2 linked regions of the Stegostoma tigrinum genome follow. The protein of the gene in region 2 binds, or shares a complex with, the protein of the main gene of each other region. Links are inferred from orthologs where the notes say so. Each region holds a gene or a part of one and is shown on either strand. Other genes may lie near its edges.

What was found. Proteins that work in one complex are often made in the same cells at the same time.
Region 1: the proteins of AP-3 complex subunit mu-1 (region 2) and lamp1a are in contact, whole or in part, in a cryo-EM structure (PDB 9C5A), measured with the Homo sapiens proteins. The link is inferred for Stegostoma tigrinum from reciprocal best matches to the Homo sapiens genes AP3M1 and LAMP1. Residues at the interface, in NP_001307192.1 of Homo sapiens: Glu178, Tyr180, Phe181, Asp182, Gln381, Val389, Asn390, Arg391, Leu392, Phe402, Lys403, Gly404, Val405, Lys406; in NP_005552.3 of Homo sapiens: Ser410, His411, Gly413, Tyr414, Gln415, Thr416, Ile417.

The regions. Positions count from the first base shown.
Region 1 is NC_081365.1:77,079,951-77,090,858, reverse strand, and holds the start of lamp1a (lysosome-associated membrane glycoprotein 1a), read right to left. Parts: upstream 5,182-10,908; 5' UTR 5,029-5,181; coding exon 4,980-5,028; intron 1-4,979. UniProt on the Homo sapiens protein: Lysosomal membrane glycoprotein which plays an important role in lysosome biogenesis, lysosomal pH regulation, autophagy and cholesterol homeostasis.
Region 2 is NC_081390.1:13,539,033-13,549,946, reverse strand, and holds the start of AP-3 complex subunit mu-1, read right to left. Parts: upstream 4,200-10,914; 5' UTR 3,944-4,199; intron 3,627-3,943; exon of another isoform or gene 3,608-3,626; intron 3,495-3,607; 5' UTR 3,345-3,494; coding exon 3,072-3,344; intron 2,366-3,071; coding exon 2,194-2,365; intron 1-2,193. Other genes in the region: adenosine kinase-like, read left to right, coding at 4,685-4,743. UniProt on the Homo sapiens protein: Part of the AP-3 complex, an adaptor-related complex which is not clathrin-associated. The complex is associated with the Golgi region as well as more peripheral structures.

The DNA.
Region 1 (10,908 bases), on a different chromosome or scaffold from region 2:
CAGCATTTGTAAGCTCACCTCTATTGGTCAGGGCATTGAGTACAGGAGTTGTGGTTGTGCAAGACATTTGTTAGAGATAATGGGAACTGCAGATGCTGGAGATTCCAAGATAATAAAATGTGAGGCTGGATGGACACAGCAGGCCAAGCAGCATCTCAGGAGCACAAAAGCTGACGTTTCGGGCCTAGACCCTTTTTGGCGCATTGCATGCAATTCTGGTCTCCCACTTATTTGATGTTGTTAAACTTGAAAGGGTTCAGAAAAGGTTTAGAGGGTTTGAACTACAGGCAGAGGGTGAATAGACTCGGGTTATAGTCCCTGGAATGTCACAGGCTGACAGGAGACCTTAAACAGGTTTATAAAATCATGAGACACATGGTTAGGGTAAATATGCAAGGTCTTTTCCCAGGGTCAGAATCTAAAACTAGAGGGCACAGGTTTAAGGAGAGAGGAGAAAGATATAAAAAGGGACCTAAGGGGCAACTTTTTCACGCAGTGGGTGCTGCATGTCTGGAATGAGCTGCCAGTGAAAGTGGAAAAGGCTGATATGATTACAACATTTAAAAGGCATCTGAATGGGTATACAAACAGGAAAGATTCAGATGTATACGGGCCAAATGCTGGCAAATGAGACTAGATTGGTACAGGACATCCAGTCGGCACAGACGAGTTGGAGCAAAAGGTCTGTTTTCATGCTATACATCTCTATAACTCCACGAAATATTGCAAGTACGCCCACAGGATGGGAGACATGTTGAATATGCTGTCGCAAGTGGGGAATAACTTCACTTTACTGTCTTCCTCTTTTCGTTAAAGGCATCAACTAAATTTGTTTTGATGTCAGTTAACTGCCAAATGGCTTCCTCCTACCATCTAAAATTAAAGCATATATTCAACTAACAAAGATCAGAAAACATTCTCCGAGTTCTAAAGGAGAACAGGATACCTTTCCACTCCTGAAACTAGCAGCTCAAGAAAATTTTGACTTCTGTCAACACCCAATTAACAAATATCACAACAGAGAAAATTCCAAAGAACTTGAAAACAGCACGAGAGGGGGATTCAACCGAGAGCTGGTGTAAAGTCTGAGAGACGGTCGTGCTTGAATGAAAAATAAAACATGACATCACAAGTAAACAGGGCACTTATTGGTCACGCCTTGGAGAAGCTGCACAAGACAGATGATTTCTGAAAACATGCAAAGTGACACCACAGGATAAACACAAGTTGATCCAGATAGTACTGGAGCTAGTGCAAAAGGAGCAGCGACCTTGGTAGCACTAGGTAATTATACTTTCCGGTCTTTAAAGTGCAAATTGGTATTCCATTCAGATTAATCAGTGCTTAAAAAGGCAAATGATAAAGCAAGACCCCTAATCCACCTAATATTCTTCAACCGTGAAGAAGAAAACATGAAGGGAACAACTTAAGGCAAAGCAGGTCAGCCATGTTGAATGTTCCTCCTAAACCACATGGAAAGTCAAGGGCATTAGTGTTCATGGTGACCAAGTACACCACCACGAGAAGTGACTTCAGACGCAAGCCACTTGAAATATGCGTTTTCAACCTGCAGCAGTGACAGAGCATCCACAAGCCTGAGATCTTAATGGATAGCAAGATGCTCACATCGTAGTTAAAGAGTACGAAGAGAGGGAACAGGTGACCAGAGTGTAAAAGCACTAGACAGGTTATGCAGAAGTCCTCTGGGTCATCTCACTCCGAGAAGAAGGTGTTAAAATAATAGAATCTCCTATCACTATTACCAGGGGAACAGATAAGATGCTTAAAAATGTCAGTGAACAGTTGCAAGATATTCTGAAGAGACAGCATCAACTGCCAGAATTCCTGGTCCATTTGAGTAACAACATAGGTAAAAAGGATGAAGCCCTGAAAGCAGAGAATAGCAAACTGGGAATTAAGTGAAATGGCAAGACTCCAAAGATAATCATCCTAGGACTACCCAGAATGCCACATGCTAGCAAGATCAAGAATGCCAGAACAGAGCGGACAAATGCATAACTGAAAAGATTGCAGAGGGGGGAGTGATTTAGATTCCCGTGGCATTGGGACTAATTTGGGAAGTTGGCACATTTGCGAGCTGGATGGGTTGCATCCCTGCAGGATCAGTATCAGTATCCTTGCAGTAGCATTTTCTGGTACTACGGAGAGAGCTTTAAGCTAGAGTGGCTGGAAATAAAAGAGACACAAGAGGGGAACGTAAATGAAATACATAAGTATCGAAAGCAAAAGTGGAAGGCAATGGGAAAGAAGTGCTTGTAACAAATAGGGACGTAGCACAAAAATAATGCATAAGTATGTTAAAAAAGCAAATATAAAGGTAATAAGTGAACTAAAGGAATGAGGGGTGGGATGGCATAGTTAGAAATGGATGAAATCAGTACAAGTGAGAATACATTAATTCAAACTCTAGACACAGAATTAATCTGCAAAGTAACAAAAGGGCAGTAAACATTAGTAGGAACTGTCTACATGCCCCCCCAAAAGTAAAGTAGGGAATGGCACTGAACAGGAAATTACAAAGGCATGTGATAACAGTGATCATGAGGAACTCTAATCTACATATGGACTGGTCAAACCACATTACTAATAATACTACGTTGGATCAATTACTGTAATCTTTACAAGATTTTGAGTGTAGTATTCAAAACAAAGCAGCGACAGGCTATCCTAGATTTAGTCCTGTTCATTGGGAAAGGGTCCGTATAGGATTAAGGGAAGTGAGACCAAAGCATAAAAGAATTCTTCACTGGGATGAAAAGTGAAGTAAATGAATCTGAAATTAGCGTCTTAAATCCCAGGAAAAGTAATTTATGATACATGACGGGTGAATTGGCTACAATAAATTGGACAACATAAAAGGCATAATGGGGGAATAACAGGATAGTAAGAACTGCCAATGCTGGAGTCAGAGATAACAGAGTGTGGATCTGGAGGAACACAGCAGGCCAGACAGCATCAGAGGAGCAGGAAAGTTGATGTTTTGAATCCTGACCCCAAACTAAGAGGACATAGTTATGGTTTCAGGAAATAATTATGTCCTTTTACTTTAGAAAGGGTTAAGAAAAGAAGTGACCATGGCTAACAGAAGAAATTAAGATATTATTGAATTCAAAGAGGAATCAGGTACAGTTACGAGAAAAGTAGCAAGCCTGAAGGAGCAGTTTAGAATTCAGCAAAGGAAGACCAAGAGATTGTTTAAGAGGGAAAATTAGAATGAGAGTAAACATACAAGAAACATAAAACCAACTGGTAAAAGATTCTAAATGCTTGTAAGGCGAAAGATATTAGTGAAAGTAAATGCAGGTCCCGCAGTCTGAAATGAGAAAACTGATAATGGCGAACAAGTAAATGGCAAAGTAATTAAACCAGTACTTTAGCTCTGTCTTCAAAGATGACAACAAATAAGCAGCCAGAAATGCTGTGGAAACTAAGGGTCTAATGAGAGGGAATTAAAATTATTAGATTAAAAAAACTACTCAACAAATTAATGGATCGAAAAAATGACAAGTGTCCAGGATTTATCTGATAATCTATGCCCCACAGTGCTAAAGGAAATGGCCATGGAAATAGTGAATGCCATCTTCCAAATATTTTTTGAGCCTGGAACAGTGTCAGCAGATTAGAGGATGGCAAATGCTAAAGCAATTTTTTTACAAAAGGGGAGAAAACAGGAAGTTACAACAGATTGGTGTGGCATTAGTAGTTGTTAAAATGCTATAGTCTATTACAAAATGGTACAATAACAAGACAAAGTCAACATAAAGTTATAATAAGGAAAACATGTTTGACTAACCTACTGGAGTTTAAGAATATAACCAGTGGATGCGGCGTATTGGGATTTTCAGACAGTCTCTCGTAAACTCTTATGCTGCACTTTATGGCCATTCTACTGACAACACCTCTGTGCTTGTGAAATAACCATGCTACTTATTGAGAAATTCTGCCACAGTGTCTGCAGAATCCACATGTGCCTGACATCCAGCTACCAATTGTACACTTAACAGCATCAAGGTCTATTAATAGTTAATACTCAGTTTTTAAAAATGATAACTTGAGTGAAACACTTTTTTGAATGTTCTCACCTTGGAGTAAACTAGAAAACTGAGGTCAGAAAGGCAAAAGATTAGAAATGAATCACATAACAAGGCTAAAAAGTTGAATTAATTTGTTAAATTTGTGTTAAAAGCACAAGAACAACTATGGAATACAGTACAGTGCAAAGTGGAAGAAAGGACAAGACTCAGTGAAGTAAATTAATCAAATAATTGAACCGTAATGGTAAATGTGGCCAACCAGAAAGCTGGATGGGGCCCCCAACCCTGGGATATGTTATGCCAGATTCGGGACATCTAAAGGATCACACCCACTCTTCCTTCCCTGCCCCCAATCCGGGGTGAGGGATCATCTCCTCTTTTCCCTTCCTCCCTCTCCCCCAACCTGAGGTGAGGAATCACACTCCCTCCTCTCCACTCCCACACAACCCGGGGTGAACGCGCAAAACCCGGGGTGCAAGATCGCGCACCGCCCCCACCCCCTCCCCGCAAAACCCGGGGTGCAAGATCGCGCACCGCCCCCACCCCCTCCCCGCAAAACCCGGGGTGCAGGATCGCGCACCGCCCCCACCCCCTCCCCGCAAAACCCGGGGTGCAGGATCGCGCGCACCCCCCACCCCCAATCTCTCCCTGCTCCGGGTTCTCGATCATTCCAGGCCTCACGTGACAGCCGATCACGTGAAACACCTCCAACCTCCACCTTCCCCAACCCCCACAGTCACCCTCCGGGTAACCGTCAGACCGCGGTCCGCTTCCTCCTCGCCCTCCCTCACTCAGCAGTCTCCCCACCGCCAAAATAAAAACCAAAAACAAGAATCAACCCAGGGCCGCTGACAATGTCAGCCGGCTTCAAGAGCGACCGAAAGGCCGAGGCCCCAGCGGCAGCCGCAGGGCCCTTTTCCTTACCCAGCAGCAGCAGCGGAGCGAACAGACGGTAGACGACGGCGCGACTCATGGTGACAGTCGGTAAGAGACGGAAGATGTGTTTGTGTCCGGTGGGTTGGGGGAAGGAAGGTCGGTGCTGGGTCGTGTTGTGTTCGCTCGGTGTCTCTCAGTCCGACAGCTCGTCAAAGTCCGGACGCTCATGTGACTGATTACATCACGCGGGGCGGGGCCGGTCCGCCTGTCAATCACCCCAGCCAATCCCACCCACTACAGGAGGAGGACCTTCAGCCCATCTGATCCCTGTTGACCACACCTCCAGCAAGAGAGTCACTTACCTGGTGCCCCGGAAATAAAACTAGTTTACAAAGTACTTGAAAATGAATATATCACTCTGATTTGAAAGATTTACAAGGATGTTGCTAACGTTTGAGCTATCAGGAAGATAACAAAGTGTGGAGCTGGATGAACACAGCAGGCCAAGCAGCATGTTAGGAGCACAAAAGCTGACGTTTCGGGCCTGAACCCTTCATCAGAAAAAAAAAATGGGAGAGTTTGAATAGGCTGGGGCTGTTTTTCCCCTGGCAGGGCTGAGACTGAGGGGGTGACCTTATAGAGATTTAAAATCATAAGGGACATGGATAGGGTGACACCAAGGTCTTTTTCCCAGGGTGGCCAAGTCCACAACTGGAGGGTGTAGGTTTAAGTTGAGAGGGGAAAGATTTAAAAAGGGACCTAAGGGGCAACTTTTTCTTGCAGAGGGGATGTGTGTATGGAATAAGCTGCCAGAGGAAGTGGTGGAGGATGGTACAATTACAACATTTAAAAGGCATCTGGATGGGTAAATGAGTAGGAAGAGTTTAGAGGGATATGGGCAAAAAGCTGGCAAACAGGCCTAGATTAATTTAGGATATTTGGTTGGCATAGATGGTTGCAACAAAGGGTCTGTTTCCATGCTGTACATTTCTGAGACACTATGACTGGAGCTCTGCTTTGAGGTATACAAAAGACTTAATTGCTTGAAGGATGGAGTTTAAAAACAGGGAGGTTTCGCTGCAGCTCCATAGGGTGCCTGTGAGGCCCTTCCTGGAGTAGTGTACAGTTTGGTCTCCTTACTTGAGAAAGGATGTATTGGCACTGGGGGAGGTGCCCAGGAGGCTCACTAGATTGATTCTTGAATTGAGAGTGTTGGCTCATGAGTAGAGATTGAGCAGACTTGGACTATACTTTATGGAATTTAAAGGAATGAGGGGGAATATTATAAAAACCCATAAAATTATAAGACAATACCTGATAGAGAAGCAGGGAGATTGTTTCCACTAGTGAATGAAACTAGAACTGTGGGGAATACCTTCAAAATAAAGGGGAGCAGTTGAGTTGAGGAAGAACTGCTCCACCCAAAGGGTTGTGAATCTGTGGAATTCCATGCTTAGTGAAGCAGTTGAGCCTACCTCATTGAATGTTTTTTTACAGCAAAGATAGGTGCATTTTTGAACCGTAAAGGAATTAAGGATTATGGTCAGTGTTTGGGTAAGTGGAGCCGAGTGCACGAAAAGATCAGCCGTGATCTTATTGAATAGTGGACCAGGCTTGATGGGCCAGGTGTCCTACTCCTGCTCTTATTTCTTATGTTCCTCTGTAAGTCAGACCATTATGTATCATTCATAAGTCTTACTATACTTTCCTTCTTCATTGTGTGTGTGTGGTGCTACCGCTCTGTTAAATGAGGCAGATTTCAAGCTACTTGAGGCAACTGGGCATCGGTGAGGTGGGACATCAGCAGCAGAATTGCAGTCAACTGCAATCTGACCTCATTGCTTGACATATTCTGTACTCTACCATAACCATCAAGTAGGGGTACCAACTCTGCTTCCAACAAAGAGTGCAGGAGGACATGCCAGAGTACCACGAGGCATACCTAAAAATGGTGAAACTACAACATGAAGCTACCTAAACGCTAAACATCAGCATAACATTTGTCAGAGCTAAGGGCTACCAGAGTCCACAGGTCAGATCTAAGATCTGCAATTCTGCCACACCTGGTCATACAGTGTTTGACAATTATATAACTAGCTCATGGATGACGTCCTACCACCATCTCTATCTTCAATGACAGGGAATCCCAACATGTCAGGGCAAAAAGAGAAGTGAAAGGTTTTGGAATCATCTTCGGTCAGTATGTCGCAAGTGGATGATTCATGTCAGTCTCCTCTGTAAGACCCCAGTATCACATATTCCAGTCTTTTGGGAATTTGATTCACCACATGTCATATCAAAGGATGGCTATGAACCCTGGATACAGCAAAGGCTGTGGACCCTGGCAACATTCCAGCAAAACGAGCTGTATCTGGAGCCAAGCTATGTAGTACGGTTACAGTACTGGCAACTATCTGGCAGTGTATACAGCTGTCCTGTCTGCATAAAGCAGAACAAATCCAAAATGGCCACTTACCACACCATCAGTCTATCTTGATCTGAGAAAATTGAAAGAAAATGTTACTGACCGTATTACTAATTGAAGCTTAGCAATAGCCTGCTCACTGATGCTCAATTTGAGTTTTATAAGGGCCTCTCAGCTCTTGACCTCATTTCAGTCTGGACAAAAAATGCTGAATTCCAGAAGTGAGATGTCAGTGACTACCCTTGAAATCCAGGCCACATTTGACCAAACTACGGCACCATATATCCCTAGTAAAATTGAAGTCAATGGGAATTGGGGGTAAAAAGTACCCGCTGATTGGTGAGCACAAAGATAAAAGACTGAACATAGAACATAGAACATAGAACAGTACAGCACAGAACAGGCCCTTCAGCCCACAATGTTGTGCCGACCATTGATCCTCATGTATGCACCCTCAAATTTCTGTGACCATATACATGTCCAGCAGTCTCTTAAATGACCCCAATGACCTTGCTTCCACAACTGCTGCTGGCAACGCATTCCATGCTCTCACAACTCTCTGCGTAAAGAACCTGCCTCTGACATCCCCTCTATACTTTCCACCAACCAGCTTAAAACTATGACCCCTCGTGCTAGCCATTTCTGCCCTGGGAAATAGTCTCTGGCTATCAACTCTATCTATGCCTCTCATTATCTTGTATACCTCAATTAGGTCCCCTCTCCTCCTCTTTTTCTCCAATGAAAAGAGACCGAGCTCAGTCAACCTCTCTTCATAAGATAAGCCCTCCAGTCCAGGCAGCATCCTGGTAAACCTCCTCTGAACCCTCTCCAAAGCATCCACATCTTTCCTATAATAGGGCGCCCAGAACTGGACGCAGTATTCCAAGTGCGGTCTAACCAAAGTTTTATAGAGCTGCAACAAGATCTCACGACTCTTAAACTCAATCCCCCTGTTAATGAAAGCCAAAACACCATATGCTTTCTTAACAACCCTGTCCACTTGGGTGGCCATTTTAAGGGATCTATGTATCTGCACACCAAGATCCCGCTGTTCCTCCACACTGCCAAGAATCCTATCCTTAATCCTGTACTCAGCTTTCAAATTCGACCTTCCAAAATGCATCACCTCGCATTTATCCAGGTTGAACTCCTTCTGCCACCTCTCAGCCCATCTCTGCATCCTGTCAATGTCCCGCTGCAGCCTACAACAGCCCTCTACACTGTCAACGACACCTCCGACCTTTGTGTCGTCTGCAAACTTGCTGACCCATCCTTCATGTACGAGGATATGACTGCAGGAAATCCTCAGGGCACTTTAATGTATCCTAATAACTAACCTGTATCCTAAGTCACAACAATTCTGTTCACCCACTTAAGTGTTTGATGAAGTGCATCTGTTCACAGTTCCTTTGTACAGTGCATGATAGTTTAGGAAAAATAAATAAAACAATCCATTCAGAGATGTTACTACTCATTCCAGGAGCAGGTGGGACTTGAACCCAGGCTCAGTTACTGAAGCAGTCCATGTCCTAATGTAGAAGGGCCTGGATAATATCCAAGCTTGGGCTGAGAAAGGCAAGTAATGTTCACACCTCACAAATGCCAGGCATTGACCATTTCCAACAACAGAGATTCTAACCATCACCCTATAACCATAATATTGAATGGGTTACCATCACTGAATTTCCCGCAGTCAGTATCTTGGGCGGGGGGGGGGGGGGGGGGGTTTACCATTGTCCAGAAACTCAACAGGACTCACCATATAACTCAGTGTTTACAAGAATAGGTCAGAGACTAGGAACACTGAAGCAAGTAACTCACCTCCTCACTTTCCATCTTCAAGGCACTAGTCAAGAATGTGATAGAATACTCCCCAACTACCTAGATGAGTGCAGCTGACAACACTCAAGAAGCTTGACACCATCCAAGATACAGTAGTCACTTGATCAGCACCATATCCACAAACATTCATTGCCTTCATCACCCATGCTGTGTAGCAGCATGTGTACCGTGTACACATTACACTGCCAAAACTCATTTAGTTTCCTCCAACAGCACCTTCCAAACTCATGACCATTTCCATCTAGAAGGACAAGGGCAGCAGATACATTGATTACCATCACCTGCAAGATCCCATCCAAACCACTCACCATCCTGACGTGGAAATATATCACCGTTCCTTCAGTCTCATTGGGTCAAAATCCTGGAACTCCCTCCTGAAGGGCATTCTGTGTCTACCTAAGGGACATAGACTGCCGTGATTCAAGAAGGCACCTTCTGAAGGGTGACTCTGGATAAGCAGTAAATGCTGGCCCAGCCAGAAATGCCCACATCCCATGAATGAAAAAAAAAGGTGACATTTGTGGCACACAAGTTATCAGGCAATAATCATCTCCAGCAAGAGAGAAACCAATGGCACCAATTAAGTTAAGCTGACTGACACTCTTTATTGAACAAGGACGCAACACTCACTCGGATTTTCAGAATGCTTCAGAAGTGTATTTATTTTTGTAACATAGGAAATGCAGCAACTAATTTACATGAAATGCAAGATCCCAATCTCACAAAAAGCAATGTGATAAGTAGTCCAGTTGTGGCTAACCAACGCACTGTACAACTCCATCAGTTCCAGGTCAGGATAGTGAGTGGTTTGGATGGGATCTTGCAGGTGATGGTAATCCGATGTATCTGCTGCCCTTGTCCTTCTAGATGGAAATGGTCATGAGTTTGGAAGGTGCTGTTGGAGGAAACTAAATGAGTTTTGGCAGTGTAATGTGTACACGGTACACACTGCTGCTACACAGCATGGGTGATGAAGGCAATGAATGTTTGTGGATATGGTGCTGATAGAGTGCTGCATTTCTCTATCACTTCCCCCCAACTTCTTACAAGGAAAGGTTGAGAGAGCTAGAGCTTTTCTCTTTAGAAGACGAAGGATGAGAGATGCTTTAATAGAGGTGTACAAAATGATCAGAGGTATCAATAGAGTGGATAGCCAGAGACTCTTTCCTACGGTGGAGTTACCTATTACAAGGGGGCATAGTTTTAAAGTGAGTGGAGGCAGATATAGGGGACATGTCAGAGGTAGGTTCTTTACTCAGAGAGTGGTAGGGATGTGGAATGCATTGCCGGAGAGGGTAGAGGGGTTGGCCTCATAGGAGCACTTAAGTGGCTATTAGATAGGCATATGGATGATAGTGTAAGGTAGGGGTGGAGGTTAGATAGGCCTTAGGTTTAGGGTAATGGTTCGGCACAGTATTGTGGGCCAAAGGGCCTGAACTGCGCTGTGCTGTTCTATGTACAAACTTACTTATTTGTGAATGGCATTTCTTTACTCTCCACAACATCCTTCCGCACAACCTAAACAATGAGATAGCCATAGATACAAGTGTAAAATGACTACATTTGCCTTTGTACTAGCCACTCACCATTTAAGGAATATCTGAGAGATGGGTTCTAACGGCTGTGGTTGGAAGCTGACTATTGGGAAGTGCATTGAAAGAACTGAGCAGAATCTAATAGCTCACTGGGTATGAAAGCAATCCAGAGAAA
Region 2 (10,914 bases):
GAAATCATAGTTTAAGTAGTTTTTGACCACTTCAGTAATCTCAACTGTAAAGTCAACCTTCTGAAGGCTACAGTGCAGCCTCCTTCCTCTTTTTTTTCCTAGCTTTGGGCAAAATGATGTCCATGTCTTAGCAACAGTTTCACCTGGGAAGCGGAACTGATTTTAAACTGCCATGTCATTTTCATTTATACAGCTGGTTACAGAGATAAGTGGAAGAGTGATCTTATAGACTGGCTACAGCATATAAAAATGTGATAAGGGCTTTTGTCGCACTGTCTTAGCGTGCCTACCTCTGAACCAGGAGGTCTGGTTTCAAGTCCCACCTGCTTCAGAAGTGTGTAACAACATCTCTTGTTCAGATTGATCTGAATTAGGTTATGCTGGCTCTCTGAAGCAGCAATTCACCTGGTGCCACTTTACCTACTTTCTCTTTGCCACCCTGCACATTTTTCCATTCCGATCAAATCCCAGTTTCCTCTTGAAATCTTCTATTGAACACGCTTCCATAATACTCAGACATTACATTTCAAAGTCAACCACTCCCTACTATAAAAATGCTTTGTCATATGTTGCCACTGTTTTTTCACAAGTACTATAAATCCACACACACACACACACTTTTTCAATCTTTTCACTGATGGGAACAGACTTTCCCACCACATCTACTCTGTCCAGATGCCTCTTGACTTTGAATACCTGTCAACTTTTCCCTCAATCTTCTCTTTTCCAAATTAAACTCTCTCTCTCCAATATGTCCATAAAACTCAAGTTCCCTATTGCTGGAACCAATTTTGTGAATTTTTTCAGTACCATCTGTACATCCGTTCCAAAGTGAGGCAGCCAGAACTAAATCCAATACTCCAAATGAGGGCTGAACTCGAGCTTATGCAAGTTAAACACAACTTCCATGATTTTGTACTCACCGCCTCTACTGATAAATTCAGATGCCGTCTGCTTTATTAACTGCACTTTCAATTTGTGCTGCCGCTTTAATTTAATTCACAGAGATCAGTAAAGGTAAAGTCATGACAGGGCTGATCGCTGACGAAAGAGATTACTAGTGGTGAGATTAACCGGATGATCACCACACCTCAAGTGAGATTGAGAACGTGGGACCTTCATCAACTGGTGCAGTAAATGCTACTCGTGTTATTCTGCATTGTAAGCTATTTAAATAAGCTGACTGACCTCCATATTTCTGCAAATATACCCTGGCTGACCTGCTTCTGCATCCTCTTTAAAATTGTACTTTTTCTTTTACTGACCCATCCATGGTCTTTTGACAAATATGAATGACTTCTCACTTTACTACATTCAACTTCTTCAGCCATTTCTCCACCCATTTCATGTAACTTACGTCCATTTGAGGATTTGCATGACCCCCTCTCAGTTCATTAAAAGATTAATTTTTGTGTCTTTGTCACATTCTGAAATTGTGCACGGTATAGATATTCATATTCATCAAGAAGAACAGGAATCTTATCACCAATCCCTAGGGCACTCGTCACATGAGGAAGGGTCACTCGACCTGAAACGTTCTCTAAAGATGCCGCCAGGCCTGCTAAGCTTATCCAGCAATGTCTGTTTGGTTTCCATTAAACATTGCTGTTTCCTGTTATTCAGCTAATTTCGAAAATATATTGCCACTGTAGCAATTATTTCATGAGCTCTTAACTTTGCTCATGTTTGTGGCACAGCAATTTGACAAATGCTTTTGCACGTCCATGTTCAGTATATCAACAGTGTTACCTCAACTGAAGTTAATTAAGCACAATGTGTATCTTCAATCTGATGATGGTCCATGCATGTAGACCCATTGCTCAAATTTACAATCTTACAGTACAGGAGGAGATGGGTCAGGCAATGCCTCTTTGAAAGAGCGACGTGAATTAGTCCCATCCATCAGCTTTTTTCCAACAGCCTTATAACTTGGTCCTCACCAAATATGTCTTTTAAATGTACCTACAGAATCTGTTTCCATGACTGAGGTAAAATATTCCAAATCTCAACAACCCTGTATGGAAAAACAGAAGTGTCTTCACACCCCTTCAGTTGTTTTATAAATTATCTTACTTCTGTAACCTTAGCTTAAAGACCCTCATGCCAGAGAAGAGAGTTTATTCCTAGTATCAAAAAAAATCCTCATAATTCTGAACACCACTCTTTTGCTGAGGTAGAGGAGCCACTTCTTACCTGTAATAGTATTAACAACAGAGCGAAGAATTGTAGGAGGTTTAATTAGTTCTTTTAAGATATTGGATTCAGTAGCCAATGGAAAACCATTATCCAACATTTCTTCCAGAAGTTCATACACGATAACAACGTTATCCTTAATTGAAGCCTCAGAGCATTCTCCAAAATAGTCCTGAAGAACAATGTGATAATGCAATTCCTTAATTAAACTATTTGTGTCAGACTGAAGATTTTTAAAAATATACACTTAACGGCACATTTTACAGCTTTGGGACAACTCATTTTATAGCTAGTACTTCTAAAAAAATGCAAGCACTTTTGGGTCAAAAATCCAAGAATGCTACACATCGTAAATCATGTCTTAAGTGATAATGATATTGATCAAGAGTCAGGATGCCCCTTTCCTTGTGACAGTATCAAAGGATCTTATGTCCGCCTGAGAAGGTAGACAAGACCTCGATTTCCTTTCTCATCTGAGGCACCCTCTCTCCCACAATACGTACAGTACTCCCTGAATACACTTGGTATCTCAAGGAATCAAGGGGTTTGGGGAGTACGTAAAAACTGTTGAATTAACCCCAAGAGGTTACACCGAATGGTAGAACAGTTTCGAATGGCCACAGGATCTCTGTTGTTTTCTTGAATTGTACACTCAAGTCTCTGGAAGGGGACTTGAACCCAACCATCATCTAACTCCCACCCAGGCTCTAGCTAGGACACATTCAGTGTTAGGCGCAACATCGGTAAATTCCCCAAACGAGATTCTCCTGCAAAGAGATTCACTTCACATCGAAATAAACTGACAGAAGACGCCGAAGGTAGTTCCATTTACAGTGACGGACTTTTTGATTTCCCCCTTACGTGTGGCGTGTACAAACCTGCAAAGTTTCTGCCACTCGATGGAGAAACTCAATGACAAAGAGAGGTGGCACTTCGGACTGAATGACAGCAACGAAGAAGATCTTGTCTCTGTACGTGCTGACCAAGTAGTGATGGGGTGTGGGGATCACCGGAGGCACATTTTCCGCCTCCGCGGCTTTCTCCAGGGCCTCGAAGAAATAATCACAGACTGACCGGCTCACCACACTCTTCCAATGTTTCTCCAGAAAGATATCGCCAGTGTTGTTGATGAGAAACAGGCTATGGATCATTTTTTTCTTGTTTCGTCCCAGCGGTTTATTTGTGTCCTTTTAAACCGTGAAGCGGTGTTGCCCGGCCACACGAACAGCCTCACAGGCATCAAATCAATCCGTCAAAGAGCAGCCCCAGGAATATGGCGGCGGCGCCGCCGGAAGCAGCTCCTGGAAACAGAAAACGAGATTTTAAAGAAAATATAAAACATTCATGAATCACCGCACGAGTTCTGCACGAAAAAGGGGATTGAGAGGGGAAGTGGGTATATTTTGGTGCTAACCCAATTGGAAACAGGTTTGTTTTACTAATTCCATTGCATGTAAATGAAAGGGACAATCATGGGTCGCTTTCTCCCAAAATGTCACGTCCTGTGACTTAAAAACAACGCCTTTCATGTCTCTTGCTGGGTCTCCATGTACTTTTGGGTTTTCAAAATTATTACAGGCCAATTGATTGATTGTTGCGTCGTTTCCCTATTATGGTCCAAATCGACTTTGTGACTTCTTTTACCTATAGATTTCTTTTTTGTTTGCATCATTAATAAAATTGATAGCCATGTTGTTAACAGACCGATCATTTTATTTTTTACCCGCCCTCTCGCGTCTGCATCCAATACCTGAAAACTACCACCGAATAATTCTGAAAATTTGGCAAACCCAGGCTTCACGCGCTTCTATTCAGCTGGTCACTGCTTGCGACTTAGTGGGCGGGTCTGGACTGCGTAAAATGTTAAGCGACAAATATTTCACGTTATGAACTTGAATGGTCTGCTTTCCTAAAGTGCTCGGGCCCCGCTCCCACTGCTGACTGCTTGTACCGCCCTCTTGGGCTGCTGATGTGCTCTGAGATAATGGGAACTGCAGATGCTGGAGAATCCAAGATAATAAAGTGTGAAGCTGAATGAACACAGCAGGCCCAGCAGCATCCTAAAATGCTGCTGGGCCTGCTGTGTTCATCCAGCTTCACACTTTATTATCTTGCCAATGTGATCTGCCTACTCCGCATGCGCATTGCCACGCTAGCCCCGCCCTTGTCGTTTCTCCTTTGTACTGGACCCCTCCTGTCCACGTCCCGCCGCTCCACCCATTCACACTCCTCCCCACGCGCCGCCTCTCCGGCACCATCCCTCTCCTCATTTGCATACCGTCAGTCCTGCCCCGCCCCTCAACCGCAGGGCCCAACCCCGACGCGGCTACAGTTCTCCCCCGCCCCCTTCCTCTAACCGCGCATCTTCACTCTGTCTCTGACTTCCTCGCTTAAGTTCCACTGTGCGCAGGTCGTTCCCTTCCTCGCGGTACGCGCGTCTCCCCTCTCCGGTTCCTCCCTTGCAGCGCGCGGCGGCGTGAATTGGGAAGTAATGGCAACGGACGGACCTCAACCGGCGAAAAAGATCAAGCTGCAGCACAATTCCCTCAGGTAAAAAGGAACACCCAGTCATGAAAACAGAGTGCCTGATCTTTTGGTTTATATTTAAACGGTGATTGTTGATGGTTTGAAACCACACTGCCCCCAGCGCACGTTCAAAGATTTTCTTCATTCATTGTCAGGAAAAGTCGATCATGCCTTTCGTATAATAAGCAAGAAATATTTCAAATGAGTGTCTGCCACGCCGTGCATTTGCAGCAATTTTAAGACAGCAGGTTTGGCTTCAAAGTTGTGCTCTACTCCCACGGGCATATTCGACTTATAGACTCTTATTTTTGAAATATACGATTGGCTTTTGTGGTGGTTTAATTTGTTGCTGAGATTTTTTTGTTAGTTTTTCTTACTTGCTGTTGTGCCTTTTGTTGAAAATCTAACCACGCTGGTCAGACTCCTTAATGTTGGACTTTTAATTTGTCTTCCCTCTCTGTACTCAAGGTCACAAAACAGCCCAAACGACCTTTCACGTTGCAAAGGAAAAGCTTCAAGTAATGCCAAAGCCACTGCCTGTTTGAAAAGTCATTAAAAATTCCCCAAAATGTGGTTTCATTGGACCTTTCATGTTGTATCAAAATTGCAGCTCATGAAACTCGGAGACTAGTAATCAAAAACACAACCCAGCGCTCTTCCCACCCACACCCCCCCCCCCCCCCCCCAAAGTAATTGCGTCCTGGCTGGTACTAACTACCCCTGCACAAAATAGACTTGGACAGCAATCAAGTGCCTGCAGCTCTTCACTCTGTCTCTGACTGACTCGCCCACCCCCCGCTTAAGTTCCACTTTGCGCAGGTCGTTCCCTTCCTCGCGGTACGCGCGTCTCCCCTCTCCGGTTCCTCCCTTGCAGCGCGATTATCGCTGGTTCGATCTCAATGTCCGTGTACAGGTCCACAACAGTCAATTTTCATCCAGATTTGCTACATGCATCAGTAGGGTGTTCCTTCGATTTCGTGAAGATCACGAACGAATTTATTAAGCACGCTGCAGTTTGCCTACTTGTGATCTTTTTATTCCATTTGGTTTTTTGATTTCATTGTTAGTTTCCATTTAGAAAATATGCTTGTCTATTTCAGCTTCGCAGCCTTTAGTATCATAGAATACGAAGGAAAATTAGATTTTTATTTATGCTAATTAACATTTATCATTGTGCATTTCAAAAATTCATGGGTGGGACGAGTCTAGGGAATTAAGCAGCTCACAAGTTGGGTGTCATCATGAGCAGAGGTAACAAGTTGCCATAATGAAGCGATCTATAATCAATGGAAATTCTTAACCGTGACAACGTTTGTGTTGGTCCTTCGCTTTTTTTTTGTTCAATTTGCTCAGTTAACTAAAATTGACAAGTTTTTTTTAAATATCTGATTGGAAACCAATCCAAGATTTTAATCCAGGATTTTTCTGCATATTTTGTTTTTCTGTTTCCTTATTCTCTCCCCTACCTTTATTATTTCAGGGGAGTGCTGTCAAGGCCATCAATTAATTACCTGTGAGCTGAGACTTGCTTGGCTTGAAAAAGAGGCTACGAATCAGCTACTCTGCTGTGGGTCTGGAGTCAAATATAGGCCAGATCTGTTAAGGGCATTCAATTTCTACCCTACCTTTTACCATGTTGGCAAAACATTATTCTGGGTTAATTGTCCAGGGCAATAACAATATGCCACTCACATAGTAAGAACTGCTGCTCCTGGAGTCGGAGATAATAGTGTGGAGCTGGAGGAAGACAGCAGGCCAGGCAGCATCAGAGGAAGAGGAATGTTAACATTTTGGCTTGGGACCTGAAGAAGGGACCCGACCCAAAATGTCAGCTTTCCTGCTCCTCTGATGCTGCTTGGTCTGCTGTGCTTCTCCAGCTCCATACTGTGTTAACACTCTGCCACTCTGCCTTTTCATGCTAGCTCTTCTTGTGCCGAAGATATTGTGTAGATGTAGCAGCTAAGTTATGCAATCCTGTCATTTGACAATTTACTGAGTGTTCTGTTCCACTTGTTTACTCAAGATATAACTCTTAGATTAAAGCTGTGGAGGTTGACTTGTGAAACTCTACCTTTTCAGTCTAGTAGCAAGAGAGTTGGTAATATAGCTACAAGGTTTGAAATGATACAAAAAAAGTAAATATAGAGCGTAACTTCATGGCAGCTAAGAAAATGCAGTGAGGCGGGCAGTTTTAAATGGAAGGAAAATTTGGCATTTGTTTATGCAAAGAGTCTTGTCTTGCTGATGACATTGAAAGGCTTAAGACAGATATTTTGGTAATGTTTTCCTAAATGATTGAGTTACGCTGGGTCACGTTTGTATTTGTGCTGTGATTCCTGCTCGTTTAGCGGCCACAAAGGCTTAAAAGCCTCTGCTGAATGCTATAATTGTAGAAGGAAAATATAGAAAATGCTGTTTTGAAGAAGGGTCCTTCATGGACTCAAAACATTAACTCTGTGTCTGTGTCCACAGATGTCAAGCCAAAGCTCCAAATTGTACACAATGCAGCAATCCTTGATTTTTAAAATAGACCTTTTCCTATTTTGATCCCCAGTCAAAATACAGAAAATTAAACATTAGTTTATTTAAAATTAAACAATTTAGCATTTCTGAAGAAGAGCCTAGGCCTGAAACATCAGGCTGCCTGGCCTGCTGTCTTCATCCAGCTTTCAACCTTGTTATCCCAGATTCTCCAGCATCTGCAGTTTCTACTATCTCTGAGAAAATTAAGCAGACAGGTTCTTTACACTATAATGGAATTTAAACCCAAATCCAAATTTTTGTCTATGCCTATCGATTTCTGATATTCCCATTATGATATATATTGTAATGAGCTTGTTCTGTGGGAGTACAGTTGATCTGGTTTCAACTGCATACAGTCAGTGTGTGCTATAATCATTTTTTGCAGCATATTTACTGTTACATAATTATACTTCATAACTTGTTTAATGTCTCTGCCGTTTGCTATTCTGCGTTATTTCTCCTGTGTCAGTTTTAAGGGACCCATATTTACTTTGATTCTCTTATTGACGTAAATATGTAAGCTTTCTCATTGAACCTCATAATCTTTGGATTATTTCCTGAGCAATTTGACATAAGGAAAATCAAATTAGAGAGGAGAATACTTGGCTCAAAGTCTGGTGTGGGAATGGTGTGTTCTGGTTCATGCAGCTCTGGTACCAGAATGAGTGCATGTCGGATCTGTATTGATCAGATGATCTGTGCCTGAACAATGCTGGAGCTGGTATTCTTGCCAGCTGCATAACGAGGGAAGTAAAATGTTGTGATAGTCTTACCGGATTATAGGCTAACTCTCTCATGTGAGCGAAATGACTGATGATGGTTTAACCTAAGTGTCACCACACAGCAGGTGAGAGGAGAGGTTGAGAAGGAGAGTTTGTCATGGTACTTTGGCTGGGGATGGCAAGGGATCAAATTTGGGATGGTGATAAATTAAAGCATAGAGCAGAGGTCAAAGAAGAAGGTAGTACATGGGAAACAGACAGTTGAAGAGATGGCAATTATAAGGGTAACAAATAATTAAGATCAGACTTTACAACATTACTAAGGTACAACTAAAGACTCCATCTGAATTCGCTATTATCGCATTTGAAAGAAAACTGATGAATTCAAAGTGCAGCTACATATGAACAAGGATGATCTGGTAGTCTTTTGCCCAGTGACTGACTTAACCTGAGATATTTTGCAGCCCTGTGACTTGCAAGGTCTTGGATTAATCGTCAGGCATCTTACTACTTCACGGTTTATTTTTGTTTATCTTTGAATTTACATCACCTGTAATGTTTCTTTCCAAATCCCAGGTAGCAACATCTGAACAATAAGGTAAACTTACCTAGTCTTTTGTGAATGGCAGGACCCAGAATCCTCACTCCTTAAAACCTGCAGCAAGTTTTTAAAGTGAAAATCAATCCTATCCCTCTCCAGACTGAATTAGGACAAACGTTTCAAAGAAAGTTTCTTACCCCTTTAATCCAAATCATAATGTCACAATTTCAAAATCTATTTATCGCACAAGGACTGAAAAGAATGGACATGTTTATAAAAGGAGGAGAAAAGCATAACTTTGTTCAGGGACATTTCACATACATGAACCACTCATCTTTAGCCCCTGCCCTAGTGTGGTTCTGATCTCTAGCGCACAATGGTTCAGATACCCCCACTGATGTGGATCTGCCTATTATGCAACAATTTGGTAATATGTCACTGTTCCTTCACAATTGACGGGTCAAAAGCCTGGAATTCCCTCCCGAAGGCCATTGTGTATCTATCTACAGCATGTGGACTGTAGCACTTGAAGGCAGTTCACCGCCGCCTTCTCAAGCAGCCAGCGGTGGGCAAAAAAGCTGAAAACAACGTCCGAAGAGTAAATTTAAAGAAAAATTACAGTGACATTACTGCAGGATGACATGAATTGGGACTGAAGTCTTCTGTACGGATACAGATGGAGAGTTGGCTCTATTAGTTAGTGATGGGTTTGATATAGTGGAAAAAGATGACCTAAGTTCAGGAAACAAGGATGTAGAAACAGTTGGGATACAGGAGAGAAATGATAAAGGTAAGTCACTTGTGAGCTGTTGTTCAGGGCCTTTGAATAGATTCCTATATTTTGGGAGTGGAAAGTAAAGGAAGACTGACAGCAGATTCAAGGGTGAAATCATTTATTTTGCTGTTACATCTTTTGTTGTGCAACAGACTTTCTTGAGTGGGTCATTTTGGTTGAATGTTACTGGAACTAATTTGGTCTGCCACCAGCAAGTTGTCTGGCAGACTGTGAAACCTGTGACTTCGAGGCTGCCAGAATATTTTTCACAGAAATGCAAATTTTCACTTGTTTACTAATTTACAGATAATTGTCTACTCTCCAAACACAACTGATTGCCTGCAGACAAGGGGTTTCTCTGAGCCTTTGCTCCTAAATCTGCTTTCCCCAAGCCCAGGATTCATTAACTGAACTATAATGAATTTTGCCTTAATTTTCCTTTGGAATAGAACAGTCATTTGTCACCTGTACGTTTACATGAGCAATAAAGTGAAAAGTTTTATGAGCCGCCCCACCACAATGCCTATATCAATGACAGAAATGCACATAATCATTAAAAAAATGATGAACCAAACTGATTTTTAGGTGATAGTGGGTAAGACATTAATGGATGTACCTATTCTGCAGTTTTCAGAAATAGTGAGATGGGATCTTTTCTATCCATCCAAGCAGAAGGGGCCTTGGTTTAGTGGCTCATCAGAAAGGCAGCATCTCTTACAATGATCCTTCAGCACTGCGCTGGAGAATCTGCACTGATTTTTAAGCCAGGGATCTTGTGATTCAGAAGTGTGGACTGCCAACTGAGCTTTGACTGACAGCTGCAAGTGCACCAGTTAGTTTCCCTCTGAGTGAGATTTTCAGTTCACTGGCTAGCATTTATAGGATGTTATGACAGAGGCTGAAGGAGTGCATAATCAAATGACCAGTTAAATACCTTTTTATCTATCAGGCTTTAATTTGAGATCCATCAACCAGGTCTTGTAGTAAACTTAATAATTGGTTTATCAAAACTACTCAATCAATGAAGTTATAGAATTAGTTAAAATAGTAATGTACAAGAATCCACTGAGGATGTTCTTTTCAAGAAACCATTGAGTACTTGAACAAAATTTGAATTTTTAAAGATTACGGAAAATGGATTTAAGTCCTCCAAGTACGATAAATATAAAGCAACTTTAAAGCAGGTACTTGAGAGTTCTGGCAGGCTTCAAGGGAGTTATAGATCATTGAGTTTAGTCTCCTTTAAATTTTCTAACCTTGTTGACATCGGCGGTACAAGGACTATTTCATAGCTAAACCAAGTGACCAGAAATGATGATTGCCAAATGATAATATCTTGTTCCTCAGAAAAATCCGTACACTGATACTTCAGTTCAGCATAATCATTTGGTTTCCATAGAAGTTGGTGTTTAAACATATCTGTTAAGAGTGCATTTTTAATGGGGAAAATATGGATTGAAACATACAAATTTCAGAACTACATCTAATGGTGGAGTGACCAATGAAAAATAATTTACTTTTGTGCTTTGTATAACCTCTGTGTTAATTTGGTAAGTTAGGAGAAAACAAGTCTGGCCTCCACACTAGTATATTCACACGTGTCAGTTCAACATAAACGCAGCCCATTCCTCTCC